Canis lupus familiaris: one gene and its partners. The protein of the gene in region 4 interacts with the protein of the main gene of each other region in a pairwise test. Links are inferred from orthologs where the notes say so. Each region holds a gene or a part of one and is shown on either strand. Other genes may lie near its edges.

Region 1 (5,922 bases), on a different chromosome or scaffold from region 4:
CACACACACACACACGCTATAAAATTGACCTTAAAGAAAAAAAGAAAATGACCCAAAGGATAATGTCAAAATGTTACAATGTTAATTTTACAATTACAGGGACTTCTTACTTTCTTCTTTTGCTCATCTACATTTTCTAAACATCTCATCAATAAATTATGTAACTTTCATAATAACCAAAAGGTTATCAAATAGAATAACAAAACTTTCCTAGGAATAGTAGAATTGTATATTGCTATTTAAGTGGTGGAAAGAAAGGATTTTTATGAAGGTTCTGAGTTGGCACCTCATAATAATCTGATCTCATAATAACCTAATCTTTCTCCTCAGCACACAGATGCCCTCTTAGGCTTCCTATCCAGGTCCATTTTCTGTGTAGTAGCCAAAAGTCTTTTAAAGAACCATTTATTGACTTATTTTACTATGTCTTAGATACCTTATCTACATTGTCTCCTTACTTCACAGACACCTCTAAGTATGCACTATTAATACTTAACCAATGAGAACACTGAGTTGAACTTAATTGTCTATGGTTGGTTACATGGTAAGCATGTGGCAGATCTGGGACTTGAACCTAAGACTGTCTGACATCATAATCCATTTTCTTTCTAATAGACAACATATACCTCTTCAAAATATAGCTGTCTCTGTATTAATTCCCCACTTCATTTTATTTTTAAGTATTTGCTAATGTGTCAAATAAAGTAATTATTAAAATCAGTTTACAGTGGGAAAAACATAAGAATTGGAGGCCACACCCCCGCTACCTATAACTACTCCCTTCTTCCTTTTATTTCTGTATAGCACTTACTATCTTTTTTTAAGATTTTATACATTTATTCATGAGAGACACAGAAAGAGAGGTAGAGACATAGGCAGAGGGAGAAGCAGGTTCCCTGCAGGAAGCCCAATGTGGGACTCCAGTAACATGCCCTGGGCTAAAAGTAGGCACTAAACTGCTGAGCCACCCAGGCATTCCTAGCACTTACTATCTCTAAAATTAGTTTGCTTTATGACCTTACCTATTTTCTTCATTACTTTACCTACTTTTCTTCATTACCTCTAGCACCTAGAACAGTGCCTAATTAAAGTTAAATACTTAGCAAATGAATAAATAAATGTATTCATAAGGACAGGTCAAAATTTGTCTCTTTACTAAGCTATGTATGACAGGCTTGACAAATCTACTAGCCTGTTAGCTTTTAAAGTCTCGTTTCTTTAATGGAAAACTGCCTAAGGTTTTTATAAGCTAAAATCCATTCATTCAAAAACTACTTATTGAGCACCTACTATATATCTTTATTATACTACAAATATTAGTAGTATAATATATACTACTATACTATATATACTATACTATATACTATATACTATATATATATACTATACTATACTACTATATTATATACTATAATAATATATATTATAATAAATAATAATTAGCAGAGTCTCTTCAACTGGGTAACCAAGAAAGAAGACATTTGAGTTAGGAGGTGAAGGAGTAAGACATGCATAGTGAGGAAAGAATTTTTCAGGCAGTGAGAATAGCATGTCAGAATGACTGTATTTTCAGAGTGGCTGTAATGCAGGGAATGAATGAGAATGAACAGGAAATTAGATCAGATATAAGGGAGAGTCAAAGATGGGTTGTGTAAGGCCTTGTAGGCCATTGTAATAATACTGGCTTTTATTCTCAGAAAAAAAAATAGCAGCCATTGAAGGGGTTTGAGCAAAAGTGGAACATTCTGTGACTTAGGTTTTTAATGGGCTCAGCACTTCTCAATGGGGTTGCTATTGGTATTTTGGGTAGGCAATTTCTCTTTGCCCTGACCATCAAGCCCATGGTTGATCATTTAGCATCTCTAAATCCCCAGACCTTCTGAACTAAAAATGCTCCCACTTATTTTCAGAGCTATGCTATAAATAGACTGAAGGTAGGTGTAAAGAGCCTATTTTGATATTCCAGGCAACAGCTGGCATTATCTTGAGCCAAATGGTAATGGTATAAATTCAGAATATATATTTTGGCAGATAGGATTTACCAGTGACATAGATACGGATGTGAGTGAAAGCTAGAAGTCAAAGGATGACTCCCAGGTATTTGGAATGGGCAAACAGGAGGGAGTTGCTATTCACTGAAGTTGTGAAACTGAATATGGATGAAGCCAATTTGTGAAGAAAGCAGGAATTCAGTCAAGACACATTAAGAACTACGATGTAAAAACAGATATATCTATATTTTATGGAAGAATTTTGTAAAATGGGGTAATGAGGACTACTGCTGAACTGAAGGATTTTGCTAGGATGTGTTTTATGAAGGTAAAGAGTTAAATATTAGATAAATGAATAAATGATTACTAATAATGAATAGTAATATATTAACCAGTTTAAGCAATCAGATTATGTCAAGAAAAGGGTTTTTTTTCCTTCTTTATAAAACTATAATCCAAAAGAATGAGTCTAATTGTGGAATTTCAAACGATAAATGGTGTGGAAGTAGGTAGGCTTTTAATGCTGTTAAAATCCCACCAGGCCCATATTGCATGGAGTAGATATCCTGCAGTGAGATTAGGCTCAGCCTTGGGAAAACAGTGGGTGCACTACTGTCCTGTACCTCATACTGACTAAGCACCATCGCTTCCAACACAGTAGAGTCAACAGTCAATAAGTGCGAACTTTTCCACATCCATAGGCAATTTAAGGATTTCAGAGGAAAAGCTTTATCTAAACATGGTTTAGACATTCTTTATCAGTTGAATTTAGTCATTCTTCCAGAGATGGAACAAATGATCTGAATTGACACAATGAACTAACTGATACACACAATTTAGAGTTGGTAAGAGGAAGTGTCCAATCGCATCACTGATGGAACTTTCCCCTAGAGACAGGATTCCACCTACCCATGAGTAGAAAAGTCTCATTTTGAACAGCAATGCTCATCATATAAACATGAAGTTTCCCTCCAAATGTGTTGAGTAACCAAACTCACATAGTCAGAAAAATTTCCTTCTCTTTGGATTTATGCGGCATTTATGAACATTCTATCACAATATGTTCTATTAATAGCCTCTATGATTTGATACAAGGGAAATATTTGTATTCAAAAAGAAGTCCTTGCACTCACATATACACAAGTACACTTTGCTTCCTTCAAAACATGGCATCATTTTCCAGACTGACTTGGCCTGTTGTGTGATACCCATCCTTTTTCGCTCTGTAACATTGGTGGAGGGGAAGGGGATGCAATGCTTCAGTCAAATTGTATCCCCAATCACCAGTTAGATAAAGAAGTTAGAAGGTTCATGCAAAGGTGGTTACTTGAACTGAAGTGGGAGGAATGTGATAAAGAAGTAGTAGTGGCAGACAGATGCCCCATGGGCTTCATATTGTTGTTTCACAGAAGGACATACTGTGTCATAATGAATTACCACTAATTTGAGCCAGCAGTACTGTTAGATTGAGCCCGGCAACCCAGAATGACAAACAGTGCCTGCAAGATCATCTAATGAGGGGACAAGGCTGCTCCAGTAGCACTGCTTCACTCAATTAGTGGACAAGGCTTTTAATGCCGCTCTGCACAACTAAAGCAATTTTGATTACTTAGAGCTAAGTCTCCATTTAGAATGTTTCGGAAGCTGAAACAGGGTTTCTTTCTTTTTTTTCCCTTTAATATAATTTATCTTGAGAGTATTTGAATGGTAATAAGCTATTTGAAAGCCAATCACATTATTTCCTATTTTTCCCTAAGTAATATTGAAATACATTTTTTTAAAGTTCAAATGATAGAATTTACTCTAGCAAATGAAATGTAAATAAGATAGCAAATGATTAAGGATATGCCGAGGGTGTGTGTGTGTATGTGCGTGTGTGTGTGTGTGTGTGTGTGCATGCGGGCACTATGTGTGTCTCTCTGTGCCAGAATTACAGTTGGTGAATTTCATTTCATCAGCCAACATTATCAGGAGGGTTGCATATTTATTCTATATATCCACATTTAAAAAAAAATTCCAGATCTTGCCTTCTTTGGCTGGGAGCACTTATATTTCATAGCTTTTGATATGGGGAACTGACGTTTCTACTTAGTTATTTTTTTTTTCACTATGTCACTGAATGATGAAAAGCACTCATATGTGTAATGGTACAACTTTCTTTAATATCGTGATCACTGACTTAGAACTAAACAGAGGCTATTTAGGCTTAGCAAATTCCTTTCATTCTCATTAGAAACACACAGGGTTCTTTATACATGGCTCTAGACATCTTCTGGCTTTCTATCTATGCAGTGTGTGTAATTCTCAGACTGCTAGCACTTTGTGAAATTCTATGAAATTTTGCCTATTTGAGTAGAAGGTCATTGAGTAAAAGGAACTAATCAAGTGCTAGACACAAAGTAGGTGCCAATAAATTTTTACTGAACTGACCACAAATTCTACACAGATAAAGAAAGTAAACCTCATGAGGTTCCTGGGTGGCTCAGTTGGTTAAGCACCTGCCTTCGGCTCAGGTCATGATCTCAGGGTCCTGGGTCCTGGGATTTGGCCCCACATTGGGCTTCCTGCAGTGGGGAGCCTGCTTCTCCCTCTCTTGCACCCCCCCCCCCGCGCTTGTGTTCTCTCTCTCTCTCTCTGTGTGTCAAGTAAATAAAATCTTAAGAGAGAAAGAAAAAAAAAACAAAAAGTTTAAAATTTTAACATTTGGCTCACTGGAAAACCCATAGTTAAATAAAATAACAATTTTCTTAATTCCAAAAAGGTTAGCTCCAAAGGCATGTTACACTTTCAAGGAGAGGATTATGTATTAATAGAAAATGGTACATTATTGGTATTGTTTTTCTAGTAAATAGAAAGAAAAAGAAAAAACAATGTGGCTCAGGAAGCAAGTAATATTTCCTATAATGTATGTTTTTAATAATTATAAAGACTCAGAAACTGGCAAAGAGTATACAATGATTGTGTATCATCCTCTTCGGAAAATACATGATATAAAAATCCCATCATTGGCTCAAATTATTGCCAAAACAGAGAAAACTATTAATAGTTTCATTTATTTTTCTCTCTTGTCAAAAGAACTACTAGCATGGGAGAGGAAGAAGCAGTTCTTGTTAGCTGTAGAAATGAAAGAAAAATAATAATTAAGGAATAAATTTAATGGGAAAGTACCAGTTATACCAGTTAATAGACACAATTCAGTTGATATCAATCTCTTAAGTGCCTCCCCTTCATTTCCTCTTTGTTTTTTAGTAGACTATCAGTCCAAAGCACCAACAATTACCATTCAGCTTTCCATCAATGTTAGTATCAAACATCACAGACATTTTCCCACTCCTTGTTGATTAATTTTTATTTCTCAAATATATATGGTCAATTTTGCATGGTCCAAAGTCAAAATTACATATAAAGGTAACTCTGAGGAGATTTCCATCCCTACCCCTTCTATTCATTCCCATCCACACATTATATGTAATTATTTTTTAATTCTGGCTTATCCCTCCTGTATTTCTTGTTTTGTAAAAATAAGCAAATATATATGTATTCTTATTTGACCTTTCTTGTGCAAAATATGGTATACTATATTATAAGTATAGAAAAGTAAGGACTTGGGATGTCTGGGTGGCTCAGTGGTTGAGCATCTGCCTTCGCCTCAGGTAGTGATCCCAGAGTCCTGGGATCGAGTCCCACAACGGGCTCCCTGTGACGAGCCTGCTTCTCCCTCTGCCTATGTCTCTGCCTCTCTCTCTCTGTGTCTCTCATGAATAAATAAATAAATAATATTAAAAAAAAGAAAAATAAGGACTCTATATACACTCTTTGAAGTTCTTAAAATTTTCACCAACAATGCATCCTGGAAATGTCTCTATGTTAGTGCCCAGTGATCTTCCTCATTATCTTTTATAACTGCATGATACTTCATTATATGAGCATG
Region 2 (5,874 bases), on a different chromosome or scaffold from region 4:
AGAGCACTTATTTCATGAGAAAAGTAGTAGAAACAAGAAAGTCAAGTTAGGTCAGGACACAGAAAGAAAAGGAAAGGACGCCTGGGTGGCTCTGCGGTTGAGCTTCTGCCTTCAGCTCAGGGTGTGATTCGGGGTGTGGGGATTAAGTCCTGCATCCAGCTCCCTGCAAGGAGACTGCTTCTCCCTCTGCCTACGTCTCTGCCTCTGTGTCTCTCATGAATAAATAAAATCTTAAAAAAAAAAAAAAATACACACTCAAAACAAATTCATGATTCAAAACTTCATGTAATGACTTCTGAATTCCTGACTTGTTTGCTTTACCTGTTACTATTCTTAACTTATGAGGTATTCAAGAGGGGGGGGAAAATGGCCATTCTACAGATGAGTTCCACCATAAATACAACTTAGAGATGCTGGATGAAAGGGAGACAAGTAAAATTAACCAAGATCCAATGTGATATTTATTTTCATTTGCATGGCAAACATCAAAAATATACCTGGCATTTTCAAACAATTATGTCAAGAATGACCAGATGCTTCCTGTTGATGGAACAGTAGAGAACTAGTCTGACAGAATCAAAATAGAGTTCACAGAAACAACTGGAAATGAATTTAGCTTCATTTCAAAACCATTAAACCAAAGTATGTCCTTACATTTTCACACATTTAGTGTAACTGGCCCCCAACCTAAAATATAAAATACCCAGATGGACAGAAAGAGAGAACTCAAACTCTAAGTTAGGAGACTTAACTCTAAAGTTAAGTATATGCATTACAAAAGTATTGTTTGACCAAATGTTTCACTGCAGGATTCCTTTTAAATCTGAAACTCCTGCAGGGCTTTTGACAGTGTCCTATCTTCAAATATTACTTTTACACACTAGTTTTTACAAGCGTATCTAACATGGAATTCACATTTTGTGTACATAATTAAAAATAAATTGTGGAATTAAAAATAAAGTTTAGTCACTTAAAAATATTTTCAAGTGTTCCTGAGTCTCCAGGATCATATGCAGATTACACAATCTGTATACTGTTTATGCATCTAAATCCCAAATTGAAAAAAAGAGCCCAAGAAACAAGTATAGAAATCAACTCTCCTATCCATATTTTTTTAAATGTGTCTTGTATAATATGCTGATTCGACTTGTATGGTGAAAGGATAGAAATGACAAATCTCTCAGTTTAAAAAAAAAAAAATTACACAACAACAAGCATGAGCATACAATGGAGTTTTGGGAGTTTTCCAGAGGTTACACGGTGTGATACCACAGACTGAATGCAGTAGAGATTTAAGAATCTAGATGTCTTTTAAACCAGACATTCAAAAGACCTGCAGAAATGCAAAACAATGTCACTCTTACCGCTTGTATTAACTTGTATTAATGTCACCTGTATTAACTTGTAATGAATTTTTGTTGTAGCTATTATGGGGAGGGGGGGGATATGTAAAGAGTAAAATTAAGAGAAAAAAATTAATAAAAGCGTAAGGCCATCTTTAATTTCCTTAAAATCAGAGAGCCTGAGCCTGAAAGTGGCAGTGCCAAGGCCGAATGGTTATAGGTCAGCGCGAAGCAACTTACACCAAGCTGGGTAGGTCTATACGTGAAATAACGAACTGCAAAAAGAATTTTTCAACACTACCATCTGCGTAATAAATTATAGTGCCCCTCTAATTCTGGAATGGGAAATTATTTTTCAAGGACCATTTATTGACTACATCAAAAACATTTTCCAGGTTAAAAAAAAAAAAAATGATACTTCAGAAAGTAACTTGCCTGAACCGAGACAGCAAACCAGTGTTCGCAGAGAGCACCTACAATATTTCCACGTTACCAAGCCCCCCTCCGAGAGTACTGCCGTGGTCGCCACCCCTCCTTTGAACAGATGTCTGCTCGCCACAGTCCAATCAGGTTTAAAGCAAGCGTCTGTGTACTGAAAACAAGCTGAAAGTGGGAAAACACACACGAGGCAGGCCTCTATTATCCCGTTGGTTTCAGTTTTCGCGATGCACCCCTGAGGCGATGCTCGCTGACTGAACGCGGCACGACGGCTTCCACCGAGCTCTCTGCACACACACGGATTAACTGTGTCCAGGCAGAAATGACCTGGCAAAATTCTCAACTTTCTTCCGAAGCCGTGCACCCGCAGATCCCGGCGGCCAGGTCCCAAGAGCAGAATCCGAGCATCCGGAGCGGCGGGCCTTTGTCCCCTCAGGGGCCCGAGAGCCCGCGGTCGTGGCAGCAGGCGCGATCGGCGGCGCGCGGGCCGGGCCGGGGCCTCCGCTCAGCCGCGTCAGGGCTGCCGCTCCCGCCGCGGCCCGAGCGCGTCCCGGCCGCGCAGGCCCCACAGCGCTGCGCCCGCGAGGACGCCCGCCCCCGCCGCCCCTGCCGCCCCTGCCCCGCTCCGGAGAAGCCGCCAGGGCGCCCAGACAAAGAGGCCGGCAGCTCCCGGGGCGGCGGGCGGCGGCGGGCGCCGAGGCCCGGCCGGGCCGCGCCGCGCCAACCTGCCTCCCTCCGGCTCCCGCCCGCCGCCCGCAGAGCCCCCGCCGCCGGGGCTCGACCCCCTCCCCGCCCCGGGGCCGCCGCTCGGGCCCGGGCCGGCTGGGAGGCCGCGGCGCGCCGGGGCCGAGGAGGGGGCGGCGGCCGCCACCATGTCTGCCCGCCCCTCCCAGAAGCGGGGTGCCCGGCGGACAAAGCGCGGCGGCGGCGCGGGCGGAGCGGGCGCCCAGGCCGACCCCGCCGACCCCCGCGGAATAAGCGGGGCCAGGAGCCCCGGAAACCCGGCGCCTTAATGCAATAAACAGGAAATCGCGGGGATGATCTGGGTTCCGGGGGAAGTGGAATTATTTTTTACCAGCGAAGAGATCAACTTCCACATCCGGTGGTAACAGGGCCCTACACAGACCCGCACTGACCTGGAAAAGCTTCGGGAGCGGCGACGGGGGAGCAGCAGGAGGTGGTGCGGGGACCCGAGGCGCCTCGTACCCGGCCGGGCTGACGCGGCCCCGCTACACACAAAGCGCTTCAGCTGCACAGGGCGCTATTTTCCGAAAATGCCGCGTCTGGTCGGCGCCCAAAATCCCCACCGAAAAGTCCCCCGTGCTGCGCGCGGAGGGACACATGGTGTGCGAGTGAGTCAAAGCTCCCAGCATCCCTCCCGGACCCGGCCCCTGTCAAGCCCGCGCCTCAGCCTTTCCGCCCCTGCCTTCGGCCGCAGAGCGCTCTCCCACCCACTCCGCGACCCCATTCCGGCGGGAGGAAGGGGGCGACGGGGTCTGCGCTTTGTTTTTAATGGAGGGAAGGGAAATAGGCCATTTGCAGAGCTCGAGCCACACAAAGAAAGCGGCGGAATGATCCGCTCTCGGCGACCGCAAGTCCCGGCTCGCCCGGCGCCTGCGCGGCACGGGGGTGGGAGCCGCGGCGGGCCATGTGCGCGGCGGAGCCTCCCGGCTGCCGGCGCGGCCTTCCCGCCTCTTTTTGCGGGGGCTGGCGGTTGGGGACCCAGAGGACGTGTGCCTCCCTGGGTGTCTCTGCGACGTGACCGCTGAGAGACGGGGAACCCGAACTCGGGGGGGGGGTTAAGCCGAGCCGCCCCGCAGAGCCCCGGGACACGGAAGGGCAGCCGGGAAGCTAGGATTTAACTGAAAGTGGCCCTAGAGTCAACTAGGCCGCCTGGGACGGGAGTGGCGGGTGAGGTACCGGGGCGGGAACGAAGGCTGTTCCTCCACGTCGCTCGAACTGAGCAGCCAGGTTCCTCACAGAGATGCACTTATTCCTGTAGACTTTTTTTTTTAATTATTTTTTTTAATTTTAACATGCCCATGGCGTCGCAGGTGTCTCGTACTTCATAGACGCTAATTGCTCGCTCTGTTGCCTTGGATTTCTGTCACCTCAGAGGTGAAGGTCTTTTTTTTTTTTTTTTTTTTTTTTTTTTTACCGTGGCTACCATGCCTAGATGATTGTTGTGCCGTATTTTATGAAGAAGGCTGCGAACGTTTATTTGGAGATAGTGGTTTACAGAGTGAAAGCCTTTGCAAGTTAATGCACTTCTGATGAGTTGCTAAGTAAACCCCAACCCACTGGTATTGTGTTTAACAGGTGAGCCCCCGGGGATGACTTCCCCAAGCTGCTGACCTGCAGCTTCTGTCTTCCCATATTTAGGAATTGGGAGTATCTGAGACAGCGCCAAGAGTTTCATCCAGGAGAGTTTACGAGTTTAAGTGAAATCCGTATGACCCATTGATTTCTGTGTGGCCTGAGATAAGTCCTTTTTTTCTACCTCCAGTTACCCTTTTGGGATATTGACGCGGTAAGGATTTGTAAAGTCTTTGTGTAACTTATTAAGTCATTTTGCCTAAAATAGAAGCGAAGTAAATGTCACAGTAGCCATATTGTTTTCTTTTGATGTAATATTTTCAATGCTTCAGTTGATAAAAATTTGCCAAGTTTTTGATACCATGTTTTCCTCTAACCTTTGAGTTTGAGTAAGCATTGAGTTAACGATTGCTATGGAATCCTTGCCCTCATTGATCTTCTTTCTACTGTAGACTGAGAGGGGTAAATAGTAAGTATACCAGTAAGTATAAGGAGGGTAAACTGCTCAATACTGCGAAATCTCATACAGGAGAAATCTCTTGCCCACCTGGGTTGGAGGAATGAAATGGGACTGAGAAGCAATTAGCTTTAATAAAGGAAGTGGGAGGAGCCTTCCAGACAGAAGCAGCAATACACGGAAAGGTTAGGAGGCAAACTTTGGAGAGATTGTTTAGTAAAGAAGATAATGGGGGATCCCTGGGTGGCGCAGCGGTTTAGCGCCTGCCTTTGGCCCAGGGCGTGATCATGGAGACCCAGGATCGAGTCCCACGTCGGGCTCCCGGTGCATAGAGCCTGCTTCTCCCTTGCCTGTGTCTCTACCTCTGTGTGTGTGTGTGTGTGTCATGAATAAATAAATAAAATCTTTAAAAAAAAAAAAAAAAAGGAAGAAGAAGAAGAAGATAATGCTGTTTCAGGACTGCCTAGAGAGGTTCCTGAAGAGATTCAATCATGAAGACTTTGAATGCCATGTGCAGAAATTAGCTTTTTGAGAAGAACTGAGAGGAAACTGTTGAAGGGTGTTAAGTAGAAGTGTTACAGGATTGGATTTGCATTTTAGACAGATTAGACTGTTATGCAAAACTCAGGCATGGAAAACAGTTTGGGGAAAAAAATAGTAATTTGTGAGAGAATAATGCTTTGGACTGAGATAGTGGCAAATAGTGTGAAGAATATGACCAAGGTAGTTATTGAGAGTTTGGTGATTTGGTTGAGCCGGTAAGGGAATGACTGAGAGGAAGTCATCCTTGACATCTTTGACCTTGTTGAATTTGTAAGTCCTTGTGAGCCAACCAAGCACATATGTCTGGCAGGCAATTAGATATTAATTCATTTAAGTTGTTTCATGAGCACTTTCTGTAACTGGCAGTGTTCTAAAATCCTGGAATAGATTAAGCAGCAACAAAACGAGCAAGGTTCCTGTTCCTGTTGCTAGTGGAAGGAACAGACCATAAAAAAAAAAAAAAGTGTTATAAAAGAGTAAAGATAATATCTTATAATATGCGCTATTAAGAAAATAAAAGGGTATCTGATTAAAGCATTTCTTTGGGGGAGAGAACAGGCAAAATTTTGGAAGTTGATCACAGATGGCCTCACAGAGAAGGTATTCTCTAACCTAAGACCTGAATGGGCATAAGTGTAGAGCAGTATTTGAGACCTAAGGGAACAGCAGAGCAGAATCCTGTGTTTAGCAAGAAGACCAGTGTAACTGAAGTTTAGAGACCAAAGAAAGAATGGTAGGAGAAGAAATCTGCTGCCTTAGTAAGTTTAAGTGCTGTAG
Region 3 (5,797 bases), on a different chromosome or scaffold from region 4:
TCCTGAGAAACCAGTGAACTTTGAGCCCCTTTTACGCAGTCGGGCCCATCCGTGTAGGGGTGTGAGGTTGGGTCTTTCAAATGAAAACAGCCTTAAGCATTTACCAAGGTCTTACTGGTCTTGCTATGACCAGCAGCTTTAATGTATGTATTAGCTGCCTGTCTTGTCTTGTGGCCTGAAAACACTCCTTTTAGAGCACTAGTGTCATTATCCCCATTTTGCAGTTGGGGAAACTGAGGTGCAGTGAGGTGAAGCTACCTTCCCCCATCCCACATCAAGGAAGGAGCAAAGTGATTCGGATCTCTGAGGTCTTACTTTAGTAACTTCATTAAAAAAAAAAAAAAAAAAATTCTAGGGGGCTCCAGGGTGGCTCAGTCAGTTAAGCATCTAATGTAGGCTCAGGTCATGATCTCAGGGTCCTGGGATTGAGCCATGTGTCAGGCTTTATGCTCGGGGGAGAGTCTGCTTCTTCTCCCTTTGCCCTCTCCCCTTCCCCCTGCATTCATGCTCACTCATTCAAATAAATAAATAAATCTTAAAACAAAAATATCTAGGTACAAAGAGAACCTTTTTTCCCCCCTTAATAACTTGAGACTAAGTTGCCTACTTGATGCCCTATCACTCCCCTAAATACTTTAATATTTCCAGCAAAGACATTTTCCAGCGTAACCACAGGACGGCCATCAGAATCAGAAAATGAACACGGACACATCACTACCATGGAACTTCAGACCGCATTTAAATTTTGCCAGTTATCCCCATAACTTCGTTTACAGCAAAAAGGTCCAATTCAGAATCAGGTGTTGCGTTTACCGGTCATGTCTCCTTCGCCTTCTTCAGTCTGGAGCACTTCCAGGGTCTGTCTTTGACTTACATGCCTTGGGCACTCTTGAAGATCACAGGCCAGCTGTTTGGCAGAACATGTCTTTATTTGGGCTTGTCTCCAGTATCCTAGTGATTCTGTCCCAGGTATGCATCTTTGACAGGAATATCACGGGGGTGGTGCTACGACCTTCTCAGGACATCCTATCGCACAGTACATGAGGTCCACTTGCCCCGTTGTTGGGGATGCACAGCCTGATCCTGCGCTCAGAGCCTGTACTCCTAGTGACCCCTAGTGACCCCACCGTCCCCAGAGGCCCCTTCTCCAGAAGCCACGTGGAGGGTCCATCTGGTGAAGCAGATCCACTAGCATCAGCCCCTCGTGATCTGAGTAACTGCTGCTCCATGAAGTCAGCTGTAGAGCTGGAGAGAGAGCTACAGAGAAGCCAAGCGAGCTTCTATCTTTGGCTCTGGCCTATCACCAGATGCCTATACATTTCCAGGCCCAGACTCAACACGGTCTATCTGGTCTCCTTGTTTTTCCTCCCTCTGCTCCCTGGTGGAGCTTCTCCTCTGTTAGACTCTCTTCCCCTCCTGCCCTCTCTTCTATGAAACCTCACTTTCTAACATCTTTCCTGACTACACACTGTGTGTCGGCCTCGGTGACACACGTCAGTGGGGACGCAGAGACCACGGGAGTCACAGCGCGTGTTTCGAGAAGCTGGCAGTCGCTTGCCTTCCTGTGGGTTCTGGTTTCATTCACAACGGCGGGAAGTTGGATCCAGATCTTTGACTAAGAGCCGGGTGCGCTCCGTGTATTCTTAACAACTGCCGCTTGCACCTTTTCATCATAGGAAGGAGAGAGAAAGAACGTGAGCGAAGACTAGGGGCTGACACGCCTAGGCAGCCCTGTGCTTGCACATTTCATCTCCCCGGATCCTCAACCATTTTGCAGAAGAGGAAAGCGAGGCTTCCAGAGGCGCAGGGACTAGGGGGGCCCCGGGCCCGGGTGCTTGCGGGGTGCAGAGGCAGCCGCCACTCCCCGGGCGGCCCGAAGCCCTTGAGCCTCGGCCCGCGGGGCTCCGCACGGTCCTATCAATCGGTGAAGGAATGAAGGTCTCGACCACGGGCTGGGGGGCGGTTCCCGGAGGGAGCGCGTGGGGCCCTGGTCCGCCCGTCCCTGCGCTCTCAAGCTCCGCGCCCACCGCGGTGCTCGGCCAGGGGCCCCGACGGCACCCGAGACCTTGCTCCCGCCGGCAGCCTGGCCCCGCGCCCCGCGCCCCCCGCCCCGCGCCCCGCGGCCGCCCGCTGGCCCTCACCGCTGCCCCGTGCGCCAGTCCTCTAGCCCCTTTTACGCAGTCGAGTCTCAGACTGGCGGCGGGGTCCCCGCGGGCCGGGCGCGGCACGGAGGTCGGGGAGGTCGGGGAGGAGGTCGGGGAGGTCGGGGAGGTCCGGCAGCGCGCCCGCCGCCATCCGAGGCCCTGGAAGCCCCGCCTCCTCCCTCGCACTCGGCCCCGCCCCGTTGGAGCCCGGGACGCGCTCGCCCGTCGCGGCCGTGACGAAGAGCGCCCCGCGCCCGCCCCCGCCCCCTTGTACGTCATTTCCGGCGCGCCGCCGCGGGCACATCCGGGCTCCTGGCCTCCGGCCGGTAGCTGCGCTTGGACCCGGGACCTGCGGAGGTGAGCGGGGCGGGGGTGCGGGCAGCGGTGGGGCGTCCCCGCCGGCGGGCGTGAGTGCGGGGGACGCAGCCCCTCCGCGCAGCCTGCTCCAAGCCTGCTTTCGAGCGCCGTCGGCGCGGAACCGAGGCCCGGTGCTGCCCCTGGCTCGTCCGCCCCGCGCGGGCTCTTCGGGGGCCCGGGGAGGCCGAGGCGCTGCGGAGCCCCGAGTGCTCGGGGGCGCTTCCCTTCTGTGCGCCCCGCCAGCGTGGCGGGGGTGCAGTGAGCCGGGGAGCCTGGGGACTAGCGCCCGGACGCGCCGGCCCCCGCGAAGGCTGCTTGCCGCCCGCGGCTGTGGTGACGCCGCGACGCCGCCGCCGACCCGCCGGAGCTGGGGTTTCAGCAGTCCTCCCCGAGGTCCCCTCCCCAACCTACTGATAGTGGCGGTGAGGAACCTGATCTGGGGCTACCGTAACAGCCCTTGCTCCCGGAGCGTTTTTACTCTGAGCTTAGTATTTTAAATTTTTTAAGAAATACTTATTTGAGAGAGAACGTGAAGCGGGGTGGGGAGGGGCCGAGCTGGAGCGGAAGAAGCAGAGTCCCCGCCGAGCAAGGACCCCGAGGTCTTGACCTGAGCTTAAGGCAGATGCTTATCCAGCTGGCCCACCCAAGCACCCCTGAGCTAAGCGTCTTTTAGGCACCACCTCGTTTAATCTGGCTCACAGGCATTCCCAGAGGGTGGGGGTAGAGTCAGCTGAATCTCATCACTCAGCTACCAGGAGCTGAAATCTCTGTTAAGGTAGGGTTTATGCCTTCAGAAGAAGTTCATGTTTTGGGAGGAAAACTTTTAAGTCTTAGGGTCTCACCAAGTAATATACTTCAGGAAGCGTGTTCTAAAAACCATCACTCCCGGTGGTGAACCGCCAAGGGTCCAGATATAGTAACTCTTTCCTCATATTTAGTTGTTGTTGATCCTTCGTTTTGACTCCAGAGTAACTACATTTTTTTGTGAGATTGTAAAAGTACCATTGAAGTTACAACTAATTTAAGAAGAATGGGAGAAGGCCAGTTAGAAGCCTCAAATCTTCCAGCAAACATCTGGCATTCTGAGGTGACAGTGTCCGTGACAGGCGAGCCACCCAGTGCTGTAGAAGAAGAAAAAGAAACAGCTGAAGAACCGGAAAAAGAAGTCCTCCCAGACATCGTAGAGCCACTCTCCATTCTAGATGTGCTGAGGATCTCTGCGGTTCTGGAAGATACTGCAGACCAGCTCTCTATTCTAAACTATATCATGCCAGTTCAGTATGAAAGAAAACAAAGTGTCATCATGGTATTAAAAAAAAAGGGGGGGGGGTTCCAGGAAGATGCCCACCCCGTTTCTGAGGCAGTAATAAGTAGAATAACATACCGAGTTATTTTTTTGTGGGTTATTTAGGTGTGAGTGTGTGTAAAGTTTTATGACCTTGACCAGGACAGGGAATCGCATATTGTTGGGACCAGTCTTTTGTCCCACCTGTTTAAATAGTGTTTGTTTTCTGAAATATGTTTTTAATGTCTGCCTTATTGAACTGTTAACAATGATTTTTAATCATTGGGACTTTGAGTGTGAGGAAGTTTGAAGGGAGTGAGGAGCAGGGACGGAAGCCTACTGCTGCTCTCCCCTCAGGACTTACCACAAACCACGTGCCTTTTTTATTCCTTTCTTTAGTGACCTGTCATGTCACTGTCCCACTTGTACCGGGATGGGGAAGGCCACATGGATGATGATGACGATGAGCGGGAGAACTTTGAGATCACCGACTGGGATCTCCAGAATGAATTTAACCCCAACCGGCAGCGCCACTGGCAGACCAAGGAAGAGGCCACCTATGGAGTGTGGGCAGAGAGAGATTCAGATGAAGAGAGGCCCAGCTTTGGAGGCAAACGGTACTGGCCAGCATGAGACTGCTTCCTCCTCGCTTTAGGGAAGATGGGGGGTGGTGGGAAGATAGCCCACTAAATATACCTTTCTCCTGGCCTTACCAAGTCCTGTAGCTACGATATAAGCTAGGGAGGCCCAGCTTCCTCTTTGGCCGGAGTGCTGCTCTTTTGCTGATTTAACCATCACTTCATGTTTAACGAGCAGTTATATGTACCATGTCGTATACTGCAGCCCCATTCCTTTCCTTCTGGGAGCCCAGACGCTAGAGCATGGAGACACATTAATTGACAGCTCATACGATGGAAGTTTATAACTGATTTAGGACCTGAGAGAGAGAGAGTTTGGCCTATTCTGGGAGGTGAGGGAAGATTTCTCTAGAGAAGTGACTTTTGAGTTTCTATTACAGCAGAAGGTAATGAGGGTGGTAGGAGAGGCACGGGTATGCAGAGGCTCCTGAGGGGAGGCGGTGGGTGTCCACAGGGGTACAGAAAGCTTTGCAGGCTGCGGTGAGGGAGGGAGAGGGGGCATAGTTTGAGAAGAGGTCTGTGGTAGAGCGGATGATGTGGGCTGCACTTACCTTTGGAGAAGACCTGTCAGTGTGCAGAGTTGACAGGGAGCTGCAGGGGAAGAGGAAACTCCATGAGGCAGGAGAGGAGGATTCAGGCCAGTAGTCGTCCTCCCCAGTGTGAGAGGTCATGTGTGCAGTGGCCACAGCTCACTTGACCAGAGCGTGTAGCGAGTTTGGCTTTGTCTCTGTGTTTCGTCTGTGGTTTGTAGGCTCTAGCCCATTGACACTGTGCGTTTTTCACAAAGGAGGCTGGGGAGAAAGTATGGAGGTCAGATCAAGTCCTCATCTGGCAAGGAAACCTAAAAGTGGGTGATAAATAGATCAGAGGTCAGGAATTAACATTCTCTATAACCATAAGATAGTACCTTGTTCTGCACTCTACGTGCTTGGTATCCTTCACCTTGTGAGAAAAGTAGCATCATTATCATTCCTTTTTTCAGATTAAAAAACTGAGGCCAAAAGCACATAACCAGGCTGTAAGAAACTGGGCCTGACTCCTGAGTCTGGGTCTCTACGGCCTAAGTTACATTGCATTGTTTAGGAAAAAATGCTACTGCCATGGGGATGGTTAGTGACAAGTTGGTCATTTTATAAAGGTAACCAGGAAATAGGACATTGTAAGGACTGTTCTTGTGACAGTTGTCAACATTGATACTCTCTATCTCAGAGTTAATTTCTTAGGTATTTTACTTTAGTTTTCATACGCAAATAAAGGTAATGAAGGTGAAACTTTTCTAAGAGTTTGACCAATAAAATTGTTAATATACTTTGCATTCATACAGTTTCTTTTATTGTGTTTGATGATGTTTATCTATCCGAAGTTCTTTCTTG
Region 4 (6,032 bases):
TTTATTGAGCACGTATTATTCTAAGGCACTGGCGTTACCGCCTGTACTACCCTAAAGCTCTGCTGATATTACCGAGTTGGAAATTCTTGCCCTGTAACTCAGGAGTTAAGGGGAGACAGCGTCCATCTCCCCTCCTCTGGAACCCCAATTCTCCCCAAGAGCCTTGGGGCTAATGCTCAGGCTGCGTACTCTAGGAAGGCCACTCTAAAATACCAAGAGTTTGTTTTTTTCTCTCTTGACAGTCACAAGTTCCAAGAGGGGATGGAAATATTAACGGATTTTCTATAGGCCAAGGAAGGCTTCAAATAGATGTGTCAGAGGTTCATCCCTGGCAGACACTTCTGAGGACTAGACCCAAGCAAGGATAAGGCAATGACCAGCAAGTTGGGATTTCATCCCATCTCTGCCTATGACTAATGGTGGACCTTAGCAAATCACTTTGGCTGGGCCTCAGTTCCCTGTTTGTGAAGTGGGGCACCGGCTGTCCAAGGTTCCTGCAGGGATCAGATGAGCTAGTGTACGTGAATGTGCCTTGTAAACCATGGCATCCAACGATGGGGGGAACTTACTGAGTATAAATGAGACCTGGAGGCCAGGCTGTGCCCGGTAAGCCCCGGGAGGCCCCAATGCAGGGTGCCTGACAGGAGTAGGAATGGGGGAGTGGGGCTGCAGCCCATCTTCCTCTAGCCTAAGCGGGGAAGTCAGGCTTTAAGAAAACAGAAGAGAGGCTGCTTCTAATGAGATGCCTCATCCGCAGCTCAGAGGGTTTCGCTTTCCCCTTCATCTTGAATACTTAATCCTAATAGTCCTTGAGTATATTTGATGTTAAATATATCATTTTGCTCAGCCTCACTGTCCCTCAGGACTGCGAGCTTGATCTCTCCCCTGCCACTGCAGCCAGACTATACCCCGAGGGTCTGAGGGAGGCTTTGACACTGTTGCCATTGGCACGTTTGGTACCAACCCCTCACCCCAGCCTGAGCTGGGGGGCCAGACAATGTCACAGGCAATCGGCTGACAGGCTGGCAAGGGGTAGCTTCTTGCTGTAGATGCCTCTGTGCTCCCGGAAGGCATTCGCTCAACAAGGCCTGTGGCTTTACTCTCCAGTTCCAGGGCGGCTTCTCCTCTCTTTCAAGGCTCTGGCCCTGACCCACAAACTGGGACTTGACTAGCTGAAGGCACTTGTCCACTCTCTTCTTCATGTGTCGGGCTTGGGGCTCTGTCCCTACAGCAGCTCCCCCCAGTCTCCAAGATACCAATTAGCAGCCACCCAACTGGCATCCCTCTAGGGAGTCAGGGACCCTGTGCCCCACTTCAGGGACTGGAGTAGGCCTGGGGTGCTGAGCCGTGGGCTAAAGAACCAGGTAGTGTATGTCAGCAGATCACAGCTGTGTGTGAAGGGCTGCTTGTGTTCATAGGCAGCTCTCTGTACCCCCAGTTGTGAGCACTGAGCTCCCACAGTGATCTGGAAAAAGGCCTCCACAGAGGCCTTCCACTTGACAGAGCTACACAGCAAGCCTTGAAACGTTTAAGTGACTTGAGCTCTTAGCTTGGAAGGGGCCTGCCAGGTGGACAGAGCTAGACACAAGCATTCAGCATCCCATCCAGCATCCACCCTCTCAGCTCATGGGGAATTGCTGGGCAGGCAGGTAAGTCCTGTGCCTGGGGCCCCCACCCAAGCTGCCTCCAGGTCCAGGATCCCCTGGGGCTAGGAGAGGTAGTTTGCACCCAACACAGTTCATGGGCAATGAGCATGCACGTACCCTCAAGTCAACATTGCCAAGAGTGCCCCAGAATGTCCTTGAAATGCCTCTGGGGACAGCAGAGGGAGACCAGCTGATCAGCCCCCAGGTCATGGTGAGGAGAAAGGAGGTGCTACCAGCTGCCTTTCAAAGTTCTGGGCAGGTCCTAGCAGTTTGTCGCTGCACCTGGCAGGAAAGTCCTGATGAAGGGTTCTTGCACTGGGTTTGGGAGGTGTGTGTAGGGGAAGGAGACTCTCTGCCCCAGGGCCCAGGCAGACCAGATATTCCAGAACAGTGGTGGCTGTCAGATGTGCCTCAGCCTGAGGGCCCTGCTTCCAACACAGTACAGCTGTCTCCAAGATGGGGTTACAAGCTGGCTTCACAGGTGACACTCAAGAGGTATTTGGACTGACAAGGGCCCCTTCCCTGTGGCAGCCACAGCTGAAAGGACAGAGTGACCCTACAGATTTTGCAGTGCAATCCGGATGTCTGCTGGCCAAGTTCAGATGTCCTGCCCTGCCCCCTACTAACAACACAAAGGCAGCCTAAACACAGGAATTGGCAATCAGCTAGAGTGGAGAAGTACACAGTTGACAAACTTTCCTCCTTTGGTTTCTGGAAGCCCTTCTAGGAAGCTGCACTGTTAGACCTGGTGGAGGCCAAGGCCAAATCTGCACCCCAGAAAGCAAGTCTCTCCCACCCTCCTGATGAAGGCCAATCCACCCCCTGCACAACAGCTCTGAGAAGGTTGTGGATGTAGGCTGACCAACTGTCTTGGTTTGTCCCAGCACTCAGGGGTTTCCCAGGAGGCAGGGCTTTCTGTGCTAAAACGGGATGGTTCTGGGCAAACCAGGACAGCTGATGACCACAGTGGGAGATGGTAGGCTGGGACAAGGGACCAGCGGGGCCAGAGAGAAAGGTCAGGCAGCCGGGCCCTTCCCTGTACACCAGCAGCTGCCTCCCAGCCTCAAATTCTCCCAGCCTCCAGCACCAGGGCTTCATCCCCCAGGCGCTAAGGAACTGCCGTCCCCTGGGGATGGTCCCATGGGGCAGCCTGGCTGTATGTTCTCCAAGCCTTGGTAGTTACATGGGAAAGCTGTGAGTTGGACTCAGGGGTGGATTCAGATTTTTTGGGGGAGTCAAGCTTACTCATGCAATATAGGGGCTGGGGGGGGGGTGCTCTTCTTGAGAAAAGGAATACACGGCTGCTAACACAAAGTGACCACGGAAGGACTATGAAGCTTAAACTTCATCAGCTTCAAGGTAAACCCGCCCCTGGTATCCTGAGCGCCGCCCGACCCTAGCCCGCAGGGCACCTCCCGACGCGCTCGGCTGGGGGAACCTTCCAGGGGTGAAGCAATGTCACCCACCCCGCAGCTACGAAGTTCCCGATCCGAGGGCCCCCGGGGCCGGGCCGGTTTGCCTGCAGGTGCCCTGGGGACCCCCCTGGGGGAGCCGGTCCGCAGCGGGGGCGGCGGGGGCCGGGAAGCCGGGGGCTGCGGGCACTGCGGGAAGCCGCGGCGCGGGTCGCAGACGGGCCCGGGGGTCTGCGGGACGGCGGGACCGGAGAGAAAGTTCCCGGCCGGGGCGTGCGGGGCCGGCGGGCTCGCGGCCGCCCGGGGACTTCCCGCGCCGCCGACCGGCCCTGCGGCGCAGCCTGGCTCCCCCCCCCCCCCCCCAGGCGCCGCGCTTCCGGGGAACGGCCGCGGCCCGCCCGCGCCGCTGCACCTACCGTCCTCCTGCTCCAGCACCATGGCTCCCCGGAGGCGCCAGCCCCGCACCGGCCGAGGACGCGGAGGGGCGCGCGGCTCGGACTCCGCCGCCGCCCGCCGGCCTGCGCCGCTCCCGCCGGCCCCGCGCGGGCTCCGGGCTCCGGGCTCCGCGCTCCGGCCGGGGCCGGGGCCGGGGCCGGGGGCGGGGGCGGGAGCGGGCGGAGCGGCGCGGGCAGCTGAGCCCCGCGGGCAGGGAGCGCTGGGGGGGGGGGGGGCGGGGGCGCGTCCGTCCGCCGCGGGGTCGCGGGAGCCGGAGCCGGAGCCGCGGGAGCCGCCGGAGCCGCCGGAGCCGCCGCGCGCGGTTCTCCGTCCGCGCGGGCCGCGCTGGCCTCTGCCGAGTGCAGCCTGCGTTTCCCAGGGCCCCTCAGTTCCCCTGTTAATTAAATCAATTCATTATGCTCAGATCTGATTAGCGGCCCTTCCCCCCTTTGAATCAATTATTCAATACACAAACATAATTGCCTGGGCCAGAGGTGCCCGCCATTAGCTTATTTAACTCCAAGGACACTAATTACCCGCAGGGCACGGGAACTTTTCTCATTAATTCTGACAAAACACAAAAGCACAGCCAGAGTGCGTGTGAGCAGTGCGGGCGTGTGTGCGTGCGCGCGTGACCGCATGCGGGGGGCGGGGACGGGGTGCTGCGGGCCGGGGTTTGACACCCAGCGCGGGGACCGTGGGGTCCTGAGTGCTGCTGCGCGTGACTTCGTGAACGTGGCCCCGTGGCTGCTGCGGCGGGCGCCCCTGCCCTTCCTGTTTGCGTAACTGCCCCAGCATTGTCCGCTGCACAGTCAAGACACGGGGGCACGCGCAGAACACAGAAACGTGCGATCAGGAAGTGGTGGGTGGTGTTTCTGCAGTTCGGGCTGTCCTTCCCCCCCACCCCGCCCCTCCGGCCACCACCGCGCCCCCCCAGCCCACCCCCTCTTTAAAACCTCAGGTTGCCATGGTCCCCTTCCTTGACGCATCTCGGTTCAGCCTCCCACCCCAACTCACTCCACCCCTGCTTTTATCCCACAGCCCTCCCCACCCCTACCTCTATCCCTATTTCCACAGGTGCCTGCCACCCAGGCACGCCCCCACCCAACTCCACCCGCCCTTTGCCTAGTTCTCCCCTCCCGTCTGCGAGGCTGAGCCGAGGGTGTGTCTGTGGTTGACCAACTTCACGTTTTACCTCCCAGGAAATCTCTATTGAGAGCGAGCGAGTATGAGAGCCCACAGAGGCAGGGACACAGAGGGTAATTGATTCCCCCAAATTAGGTTTCTGCTTTCTAAAGACCAGTATTGTTCCTGTTCTCAATGTGCACAGAGGTATTGAAGATTTCCTTTTTGTTTCCTCAGGCAATGAATGAGCTTAATCCATTTGGCTTTATAAATCAGGAAACTAATATTCGCTCCTTCCATAGCAGCTTTTTAAAAAATTTAATTGGTGGGGGGGGCTCAGTTTGTCACCCTTATGCTGTCCCCAAGCCACCACTTATCAAAACACATTCTGACTGAGGGGTGGAGAGAAGGCTGGGAGGGGAGGTCGTGGGAAGGGGAGGCTCATCCTGATTCTCCCTACCCTCCTCCTCAGTGCTTGCACTCAGACCCACACAGTATCTGGAAAAGTTTGTGAAATGACTGAATCATACTCAATTTGGTGAAGAAAAGGAGAGTGTAGAGGTGCTCTTCAGAATGATCGTCTAAATCCGTTACTCGCAATCTCCCACTAGCATTGAATGTAACCGTGTCACACCCAGGGATGGCAAATCCTCATTCTCACCAACATGCACAAGCCGCTGGACACATCTTCCTGTTGTCAGGATCTGACCCTGCCACTCCCATTCTCAAAAATCTTCCATGGCTCTCCATTGTCCTTGCGACAAAACTCTAACTACTTATCCTATCATTTCAGGTCCTTCACACAATCTGAAGAAACCTTTGTGACACCACCACTACCCCTTGTTTCAACTGATCTTTATTGATCTCCAGCAACTACCTTTACCCTCCTGCCCCTTCCTCTGGATTGCTTTACTGTCACTAAACATACCCTGCAGGCAGGTTCCTGCAGGACTCCTCTCATGGCATCCCTCTGCTTAGGAAGTCCTTGCCCACTTCTCAAAATCCTCTAAGGAAACAACTTTTCTGTGTTCTTCTAAATGGGTGTCTCTGTGTGAAGCCTGGGTTCCTGAGGGTGTGTGTGGATTATTTAGTTGAGGCCTGGGGGACACGAGTGTTTAAACTCTCCCCTGGAGTGGAAGGAGAAATATGGTGTCAAGAGTCTACTCTGGCTCACTGGAGAAGATGGGAGCTGCAGAGGCGGGCCAGGAACTCTGCCTTCCAGAACTTCAGATACAAGAATGGTGCCTCAGAAGGAGAGACACTTGGGCATCTTCCCTTCCCACTCCCCCCACCCCACCCCGCTTGCCCTTCAGGATCTCAGGATCAGAACCCAGGAACATGCTTCCTCTGTCGGCCCAATATTTGGATCTGTTTAGTTCTCTGTGTAGCTAGGCCACTGCCCATGTTAGTGCCA

Evidence for each region. The genes of interacting proteins can lie anywhere in the genome.
Region 1: the proteins of LMO1 (region 4) and SOX5 interact in binary tests that used the Homo sapiens proteins (3 or more experiments, as listed by UniProt). The two-hybrid records come from large-scale screens. The link is inferred for Canis lupus familiaris from reciprocal best matches to the Homo sapiens genes LMO1 and SOX5.
Region 2: the proteins of LMO1 (region 4) and GABPB1 interact in binary tests that used the Homo sapiens proteins (3 or more experiments, as listed by UniProt). The two-hybrid records come from large-scale screens. The link is inferred for Canis lupus familiaris from reciprocal best matches to the Homo sapiens genes LMO1 and GABPB1.
Region 3: the proteins of LMO1 (region 4) and TFIP11 interact in binary tests that used the Homo sapiens proteins (3 or more experiments, as listed by UniProt). The two-hybrid records come from large-scale screens. The link is inferred for Canis lupus familiaris from reciprocal best matches to the Homo sapiens genes LMO1 and TFIP11.

The regions. Positions count from the first base shown.
Region 1 is NC_049248.1:23,355,783-23,361,704, forward strand, and holds the start of SOX5 (transcription factor SOX-5), read right to left. Parts: upstream 3,350-5,922; 5' UTR 3,204-3,349; coding exon 3,125-3,203; intron 1-3,124.
Region 2 is NC_049251.1:16,590,967-16,596,840, forward strand, and holds the start of GABPB1 (GA-binding protein subunit beta-1), read right to left. Parts: upstream 3,350-5,874; 5' UTR 2,918-3,349; intron 2,879-2,917; exon of another isoform or gene 2,857-2,878; intron 2,273-2,856; exon of another isoform or gene 1,779-2,272; intron 1-1,778.
Region 3 is NC_049247.1:20,594,928-20,600,724, reverse strand, and holds the start of TFIP11 (tuftelin-interacting protein 11), read left to right. Parts: upstream 1-2,448; 5' UTR 2,449-2,501; intron 2,502-4,185; 5' UTR 4,186-4,194; coding exon 4,195-4,403; intron 4,404-5,797. UniProt on the Homo sapiens protein: Involved in pre-mRNA splicing, specifically in spliceosome disassembly during late-stage splicing events. Intron turnover seems to proceed through reactions in two lariat-intron associated complexes termed Intron Large (IL) and Intron Small (IS).
Region 4 is NC_049242.1:32,367,563-32,373,594, forward strand, and holds the start of LMO1 (rhombotin-1), read right to left. Parts: upstream 3,582-6,032; 5' UTR 3,497-3,581; coding exon of another isoform or gene 3,475-3,496; intron 3,006-3,474; exon of another isoform or gene 2,388-3,005; intron 1-2,387. UniProt on the Homo sapiens protein: May be involved in gene regulation within neural lineage cells potentially by direct DNA binding or by binding to other transcription factors.